Linked DNA regions of Nothobranchius furzeri. The protein of the gene in region 2 interacts with the protein of the main gene of each other region in a biochemical or structural test. Links are inferred from orthologs where the notes say so. Each region holds a gene or a part of one and is shown on either strand. Other genes may lie near its edges.

Evidence for each region. The genes of interacting proteins can lie anywhere in the genome.
Region 1: of the proteins of ptprc (region 2) and tyrosine-protein kinase CSK, one has a biochemical effect on the other in vitro, tested with the Homo sapiens proteins (2 studies listed by IntAct). The link is inferred for Nothobranchius furzeri from reciprocal best matches to the Homo sapiens genes PTPRC and CSK.

The regions. Positions count from the first base shown.
Region 1 is NC_091744.1:58,974,245-58,977,894, forward strand, and holds part of tyrosine-protein kinase CSK, read right to left. Parts: intron 376-3,650; coding exon 156-375; intron 1-155. UniProt on the Homo sapiens protein: Non-receptor tyrosine-protein kinase that plays an important role in the regulation of cell growth, differentiation, migration and immune response.
Region 2 is NC_091748.1:66,700,211-66,704,482, forward strand, and holds the start of ptprc (receptor-type tyrosine-protein phosphatase C), read left to right. Parts: upstream 1-1,342; 5' UTR 1,343-1,518; coding exon 1,519-1,582; intron 1,583-4,272. UniProt on the Homo sapiens protein: Protein tyrosine-protein phosphatase required for T-cell activation through the antigen receptor. Acts as a positive regulator of T-cell coactivation upon binding to DPP4.

The DNA of each region.
Region 1 (3,650 bases), on a different chromosome or scaffold from region 2:
GTTCCAGGAACTGCACATCGTCTCTAAATTGGTAGCATTATGCTGCGGCTCTACACCCAGAGTAGAGCCCTGAAATGTTCTACACAGTTCCACACTGCATGCTACATATAAATGCGGTTCAATTAATGAGTTTAAACTTAAAACTTATGTCTCACCTCAACCAGCTGCATAAGGTTCTCAAAATAGCCATCCTCGTCGATGGTGAGCTTGCCGTTGTGGTAGATGATGCGATAGTGCTCCACCTTACCATCGCAGCTCACACACAGGGTGTAGTCGCCGGGAAAGTTGGTGCTTTCTCGCACCAAGAACAGGCCCGTTTCAGGAGGGTGAAGCAGTCTCTCTGCCTGATCTCGTGTTATCTTCCCATGGAACCATCTGGAAGTCATGGAGTCAATGAATACATCTCATAAAACAGACTCTTTTTGTGAATCACTTAAAATGTAGGTGAAAACAAAAACAGCCTGATACCAAAGGATTTCAACCTGCTTGTTTCTTCATTATAAAGCTACACATAGAAGCAAGTTCCTTATTTTGTTTAAAAGTCAGACTTGATTGTAATTTGCATTTTAGCCTTTCCTTCTCCAGTTGTGATCACTTTACATAATATGTGCCATTAACACTCAAAGTACACATTTAGTTTTACTGTTTGAGTTTGCACAGACTTGTCCACATGAACCATGAACTATAGAGCTTTATGTTGGTGTGCTACTATATTAGAACCACTTATGTTTTTATTTTACCTCCCAGAAGACGTGTTCGCTTATGCATAGATTATTAGAAAAACATCACACACACACAAACACACACACGCGCCTATGCTCTGACCAAATTTAGACAACTTTGATCTCTCACATCACTGAAATGTTTTGAGTATTTTCCTGCTAAAAGCCTTGTGTTTATCATTAAATATGTAGGATACTGGGTGCCAGCAGTGGACCTCTTTTCCTCAGCTCACTGTGACATGTCCCCTTCTGTCTCTGACCACCCTCCATCACCTGTCCAGCTTGTTTCACACACACACAAATTAATCAATTTGAATTTCTTGGTTTGCTTTGGTCCTTCTTGTTGGAGTTTGGTCAAATTTAAAGAAACCGATCTAACATCTAAAATGTTTTCTTAACTAAGTATCATCCGTACCAGAGATTAAGTGCTAACAGACCACAGAGAGTTTTGCAATATCACATGAGACTGAACATTGCGTTCAACATGATCTCAGTTTAAACTCTGGCATGAAAAACGCTGGGTGGTACACATTCCTGCAAGGAATTCTGGCACTTCGAGTTCAGTTATCCTTCAGAAATATTCATCTTTCCATTTTCAATAATAGCCTTGTTTCATTTTTGACTCCACATCGGCCTTTAAGGCTAATTAATCAAATTTTTGCAGCATCTAGATGCATCATGATTTGCATATTCAGCATGACCGTTTTTTAGCACAGAGATAGTCAAATGAAGTTTTCAGAATGTACAGTAACCACATTTCCATGTGCCCCCATATGACATTTAAATATCACAGATAAGCTTGTTGGAAAGCTCAGCCAAAGGCTTTGTGTCACAGAAACAGAATTGACTTCCTTTTGAGTTGTAGATAGTTGAAGAGGTTTTCCTGTCATTTAATCAAAACATTTGCAGATGTCTCTAAAAGGAATGTATGCCTTGTAAGTTGTACTCTGGCTACAAAAACGCCTGGTGCTCCTGTCTCAGGATCAAGATTGCCAGATCAGAGCTTCAGACGGCAGGATTTGGAGTCTTATTTCCTGATATATGGACAACTCACATCTGATTGGCTAACAGAAAAGTGACACTACCATTGACTCTGCTCTGCAACGTTGATGTTTTATCACCACAAATAACACAAGCCTGGAGGAGTTCTGCTATGTGGTGAAGTTGCTCCTACTAGCCAAGGCGCTTTCTGCTGTTTCCTTTAACAACAGCCTTTCCCATCATGAGTCAGGCTGGGTGAGTCCATGAATGTTCAGTGACAGTGTGACGTAGATCTGTCGGGCTTTTCAAATCCTAGATTTTCACTGTTTATTTTTGTAAGAAGCTAATGCAGAAGATATGTGTAGGGGACTATTTTCATGTTCAGCCTGCATGAAAAACTCAGAGTGATTGATTATAATCAGAAATAATCATTAAAAAATGTTTTTCAGTGAAACACACCTTTAAAGGGGACTGTTCTGTTCTGGTCCTGTTGGACCTGACTGCAGCCTTTGACACTGTTGACCATCACCTGCTACTGGAGAGGCTGAGATACTGGGTAGGCCTATCAGGAACTGCTCTGGAGTGGTTCTCTCATCTTTCTGGGTGCTCCTTCTCTGTGGCCGTCTCCAAGTTTAGGTCCTCCACCACCTCTCTTACCCATGGTGTCCCACAAGGTTCTGTGCTGGGACCTCTGCTCTTCCTCCTCTATCTGCTTCCTCTTCAGCACATCCTGAGCTCCTTCAAAGGAATCTCCTACCATCTTCACGCAGATGACATCCAACTGTACATCTCCTTCAAACCCCATGAGAGGTCTAAGCTGCAGCTGTTACACACCTGCTTGGACTCTATCAAAACCTGGATGGCTGGGAGCTTTCTTCAGCTGAATGAAGATAAGACTGAGATCCTCATCTGTGCCCCAGACAAGCTGGTTCCCAAAGTCAGAGACACTCTTGGTCAGCTTGCTTCTCACACCAAACTTTCTGTCAGGAATCTTGGTGTGACCTTTGACCCAGCTCTCACCCTTGATTCTCATGTCAGTTCTCTTGTTCGCTCTTCCTTCTTCCATCTCAGGAACATTGCTAAGCTGAGTCCCATTCTGTCTCGCTCTGAACTTGAGACAGTTCTCCACACCTTCATCTCCTCACGCTTAGACTACTGTAACTCTCTTTTCACGTGTCTGAGCAGAACCTCCCTGAACCGTCTACAGGTGGTTCAGAATGCCTGTGCTCGGCTTCTGACCAAGTCCTCCAAACACACCCTCATCACCCCGCTTCTCCTCCAGCTTCACTGGCTGTTAAGCAACTTCAGGGTTCATTTTAAGATCCTGGTTCTGGTCTTTAAGGCCTTACATGGACAAGCACCATCATACATTGGTGATCTTCTTAGTCCCTACAACCCCAGCAGTAGGGTTGGGCATTGTTTGATTTTGAACGATTCCGATTCCAATTCCTCTTTTCGGTTCCGGTTCTTATCGATTCCCGCTTCCGATTCTTTCAAGACATGACATGCTTTACATGAGCCAGCTAACCACAGGTCCTACTTGTTGAAATAATCTTAACTTCAACATGAATTTTAATTCTATGAACGATAACATCACCTTCATTTAGACAGAAACATGTTTTGGAGAAAAAAGAAAAAGACTTGCAGCACAACCAGTGTGTTTGTTTCTGACCACAACCAAAGTCTGGAAGAAGCCTCTGGGATGAGGCTAAATGTCTCCAACATATCCAGAAACGTCCAGCTGTTTTCAGCTACAACTCTCAGGATGATCATGTCCAGGATGACTGAGAACTACACCTCCATGCTGCAGCAGCGTTCAGTCAGAACAGGAAGTGAAGCTTAAATGTAGCTGCTGACAGTAACAATCTAACAGATTTTAAACATTAAAACTCAACAGAAATTGTTCAGAAAGGAAATTAAAATGTTCACAACTTTGTGTGTGATTTA
Region 2 (4,272 bases):
CTGTTTTTTCAAACCACACATAGTTCACCAAAGCCACGCTGGATCACAAGTCTGCTAACTTTCTCTAGCGAAGAAAACAGCAGCAGGTGTGGAAAAATGGTTTTACATTTGGACTCATTTGTATATTTTAGACTGAAAGTCTGTGAATCCAGCGAATCTACCGACAAAACCCATTCAACAACTAACAAATAACTTCCTTTTGGGTGCAAGAACACAGTCCTGTTTGCTCAAGAACCACTTCCTGATTACAAGAATGTATTCTTTCAGAAGGGGAATTAACAGAATATGGTGCGTATCACAGTTCTCAAAGGAAATGCATATTTAGATATTCACAACAAAAAAGTCATTTGCATGACAGAAACGTGGTATGTTCATATTTGCTTGGAGCTCGGAGTGCTTTTTCCACGGATTTTTAGCTTTTCTTTTCAAAATGAGCAAAAACAGTATTAAAGTATGATGAGACATGCACCGATGATTCAAATCATCCTGCCGCCACGCAGAGTCGAGTTTAAAACCAACGCAGGATCAAAAAAAAATCCTGTCAGCTCAACAGCAATTATCTAAACTCTAAAAAAGACTGCGCAGTCCCATGTATTATTCCAATAAACCACATGAAAAAGGAAAAAGTTGTATTTTATCTGGATTCACATCAGCTCAACACCCGGTGTGAGAGTTTTACCCCCCTGGAGAGTATTTTTTTCTCCTCGTCTTCCTCTTTTATCCCCTGTTTTCTTGTGAATGTAAACAGAATTAAAGCTGTTTGGCCTTCAAGGCAGAGCGCCACGATCAAACGCCGTGCACGATCAATGACTCTGAAAACATCTAACAACACTCATACATGTAGCTGTGTCACGCTGAAATGAAGACGTTCACTTCTGGAGCCGGTGGCCACATGTTCTCCCTCTCTTGATGGAAAGAGAGCGGGAAATCTAAACAGGGTGGGAAAACGTCGGAGCAGAGAGGCCGTGGCTAGAGTGGTCAGCGCCTTACGAACGTGGTTGAAATGCTTCAACGCAAGGTGCACCACTTCAGGTTTCACAAGAGTTTGATGTAAAGAAAAGCTGATTTTACTCTAGATCTCACATCTTTACATCCTTGATTCATCGCTTTGGTTTAAAGATGCTAATTAAATAAGACACTGCAGAAGTTTGCCTCCCTTTTCATAAGTCTGAAGGTTTTTCACACTTGAGTGAAGATCAGACAAGAGATGGCTTCCTGTTCTTGGTGGCGTAGCTGAAATGAAGCTTCCTGTCACTGAGACTCAAGGTGAAGGCAGGCTTCTGGGGGGGGGTGACATCACTGTTTCTGACTGGACTCAGAACCAGAAGCGAGGGTTTAGGGAACAAGTTCAGGAAGCTGCTCTGGCAGATAAGACAGAAAAACGCATGTAGTTTTAAATAAGGTCCACGTTTAGGCGTTAGGATTAGAGTTGGAAACAGGAGTTTTGCTCCAGTATCTGTGAGGTGGTCATCTCGAGGACTTTACCATCAAGTGTGTGTCCGCACACATCTCCCAGATATGGCGGGTCTCCGTGGTCCCCAGACTGTGCTGCTCTGGGTCATGGTCATCGGTTTGGCCAGCTGTAAGTAAAATGTTTCTTTATGGAAGGATTGTTCAGTGTTTTGTTCTAATGTAAAAAACAAAAAAGTTTTTAAAAACTTTATTTCATGCAACGCATTAAGGTGCTGACGCCTAACCTCCTAGCTCGTGCATCTGATGTTTTTGTTTGAGTGTGGGATTTGTCAGAAAAGGTGATTTTTTTATGTGAGATGGAGACATGAATCTGTCAGCAAACAAGCTTGACAATATCTTTTTTTTAATTTTTTTTAAGTGGAAAACATCACCGCTCACAAATGTAATCATTTAAACTGAGGGCAGAAATGACAAGCTACAGTATATCAAGCCTTTGACTTGCTGCTGCTTTTGTGCTGCTTCACGTTTCTTAAACTTTCCAAACCAAAGACACGGCAGACGGCACGCCGGCGCGTCTCTGATGTGAGAATCTGAGAAGTGACAGGTTTTATGAGACCCTTTGGCAAAAGAATCAACTCTTGTGTTCAATCAAAGAACGCCGTTAATAAGACGACGCTCCTAAAACACCTTTCATTCGCTACAAAGAGAAGGGAGCTTTTGCAATCATGTTTCTGTTCTGCTTTGACGTGTGTGTGTGTGTGTGTGTGTGTGTGTGTGTGTGTGTGTGTGTGTGTGTGTGTGTGTGTGTGTGTGTGTGTGTGTGTGTGTGTGTGTGTGTGTGTGTGTGTGTGTGTGTGTGTGTGTGTGTGTGTGTAGGATGAAGAGGCATGTCTATCTAAGATGAGAGGATTTTATGGGGTGTGTCCCTGCAACCCCTAGTCATTGTGGGTGTTGAATCAAGATAAGCATCTCTCTCTGTGTGTGTGTGTGTGTGTGTGTGTGTGTGTGTGTGTGTGTGTGTGTGTGTGTGTGTGTGTGTGTGTGTGTGTGTGTGTGTTGCTTCTAGCATCACTCGGTGTTCTGCTATAAGCACGTTAATCTTCCTGTCTTTATCTCGACTCCGGGTCCATGTTACTCTTGTATTTCTAACGACCTGTACAGGTTTTATTTGTCAGGTGACTCCTTTTGTCGTTTGCATACATTTTATTATAAATACTAACATATCGGGCACCATTTCTAAAGGATACACACACTTCAGTTTTTGTTTGTGCTTTCTCTGCCTTAGCTGGAGCTAAATTGGCCTAATGAACTGAGTTAATAAAAATAGTTTTTGCTCTGCTTTCTTTTCTTTCATCTCATCCTTTCATGCTTTTACAGCGGTTTGAGGCCTCCTGTGTTTCAATGCCCCCAGCAAAAGTGCGCCATTCCTCTGCATCTTGCTGCTGCAGGACAGAGTCGTGACCACTTCCGTGTTCCATTCTGAGCCGCCTTCATTTCCTGTCGAGAGCTGAGTCGAGCAGCTCGCAACAAACGCCACAAATGACTCGAGATTTCATGACAAAAATTAGGAACTGCTTAAAATGAAGAACTGAGGTCAGTGTGATTAAAGCAGGAGTGGGGGCGACGATAATGAATGAGGATGAAATAAGGCGGCATGCCAACTCCATCCTGATGCTGAGAGGCTCAAACATGTGTTACTCAGAGATTTTAGCAAAATGTCAGGTTAAAAAAAGACAAGTAGTCAGGAGTGTAGTGGTGGAGTTTTAATCCAAGGCTCAGTTTTTGTTTTGTTCTTCATCTTCCTGCTTCTGCCTCCGCCTTAACAAGCCCGCCTAAACGTGTGAACATCACACCTTCATTTCACACTTTGCCCCGATGACGGTGAAGACAGAAGTACCTGAAAGATGACAAAAAAAACATCAAACTACCTCCCTAAAAACACTTCTAACTGGTTTGGCTTTTTGCTAATTAAATATATAAGAAATTCAACAAAAAGTCTAAAAAGAAGAGAGACCAGATTCTGTCACCTTTACAGTGTTTTACATCGTGGTGCATCAGTGATGAAGCTGTTTCTATAAATCAATAAGAGTAAAGGAGCAAACATGTTCAGCGAACACCTGCAGCAAGTTAAACATTTAATAACTTTACCTATTAGTGCTTAATTAGCTCATTTAAAGAAGGATAAATATTCTTCAATTACTTTAATTGCTGGTGCCTTTTTCTACAGCTCCATTTAACCCTCCCACTGTCCTAATGGGTGTGACCCCGCGAGGAAAGTTGTCCATTGAGCAGGGTTGATGGTTCATCCCTTGGGTCCACGTGGCGGGGTGAGGAGTGAACACCACCTCACCCCTGCCACGTGGACCTCAAGGGATAAACCATCAATCCTGCTCAATGGACAACTTTCCTCGCGGGGTCACACCCATTAGGACAGTGGGAGGGTTAAACCTATAATCTACATGAATAATTAGAAATTGGTGAATTTAATGTTGATCATCAAAAATACAGATTAGAGGCTTTTCTCTCAAGTAAAGATAAAACTACAAACATGAGCAATTTCTTAGCTTGTTCAGTCCGATAAATTTTTTTGTAGTTTGTTTAAATTATGAAAAATAAACTATTAATTCTCTGATTATTTATCTTTATTGGGTGTATTTAGGCGTAGCGCTGCATCAGTAATTCATGTTCATAAACATTTATGTATTTTGATTATTCATGCTAAACACAGGAAAAGGTTTCACACACAGAGTGTGACTGTCGGTGTTTAAACGGTTTTCTGGTTTATTATGAAAAATATTTGCATTTGATGAATTTCAGATCAATTTGTGTATTTTTATATTCCACTAAAATTCAGTAAGT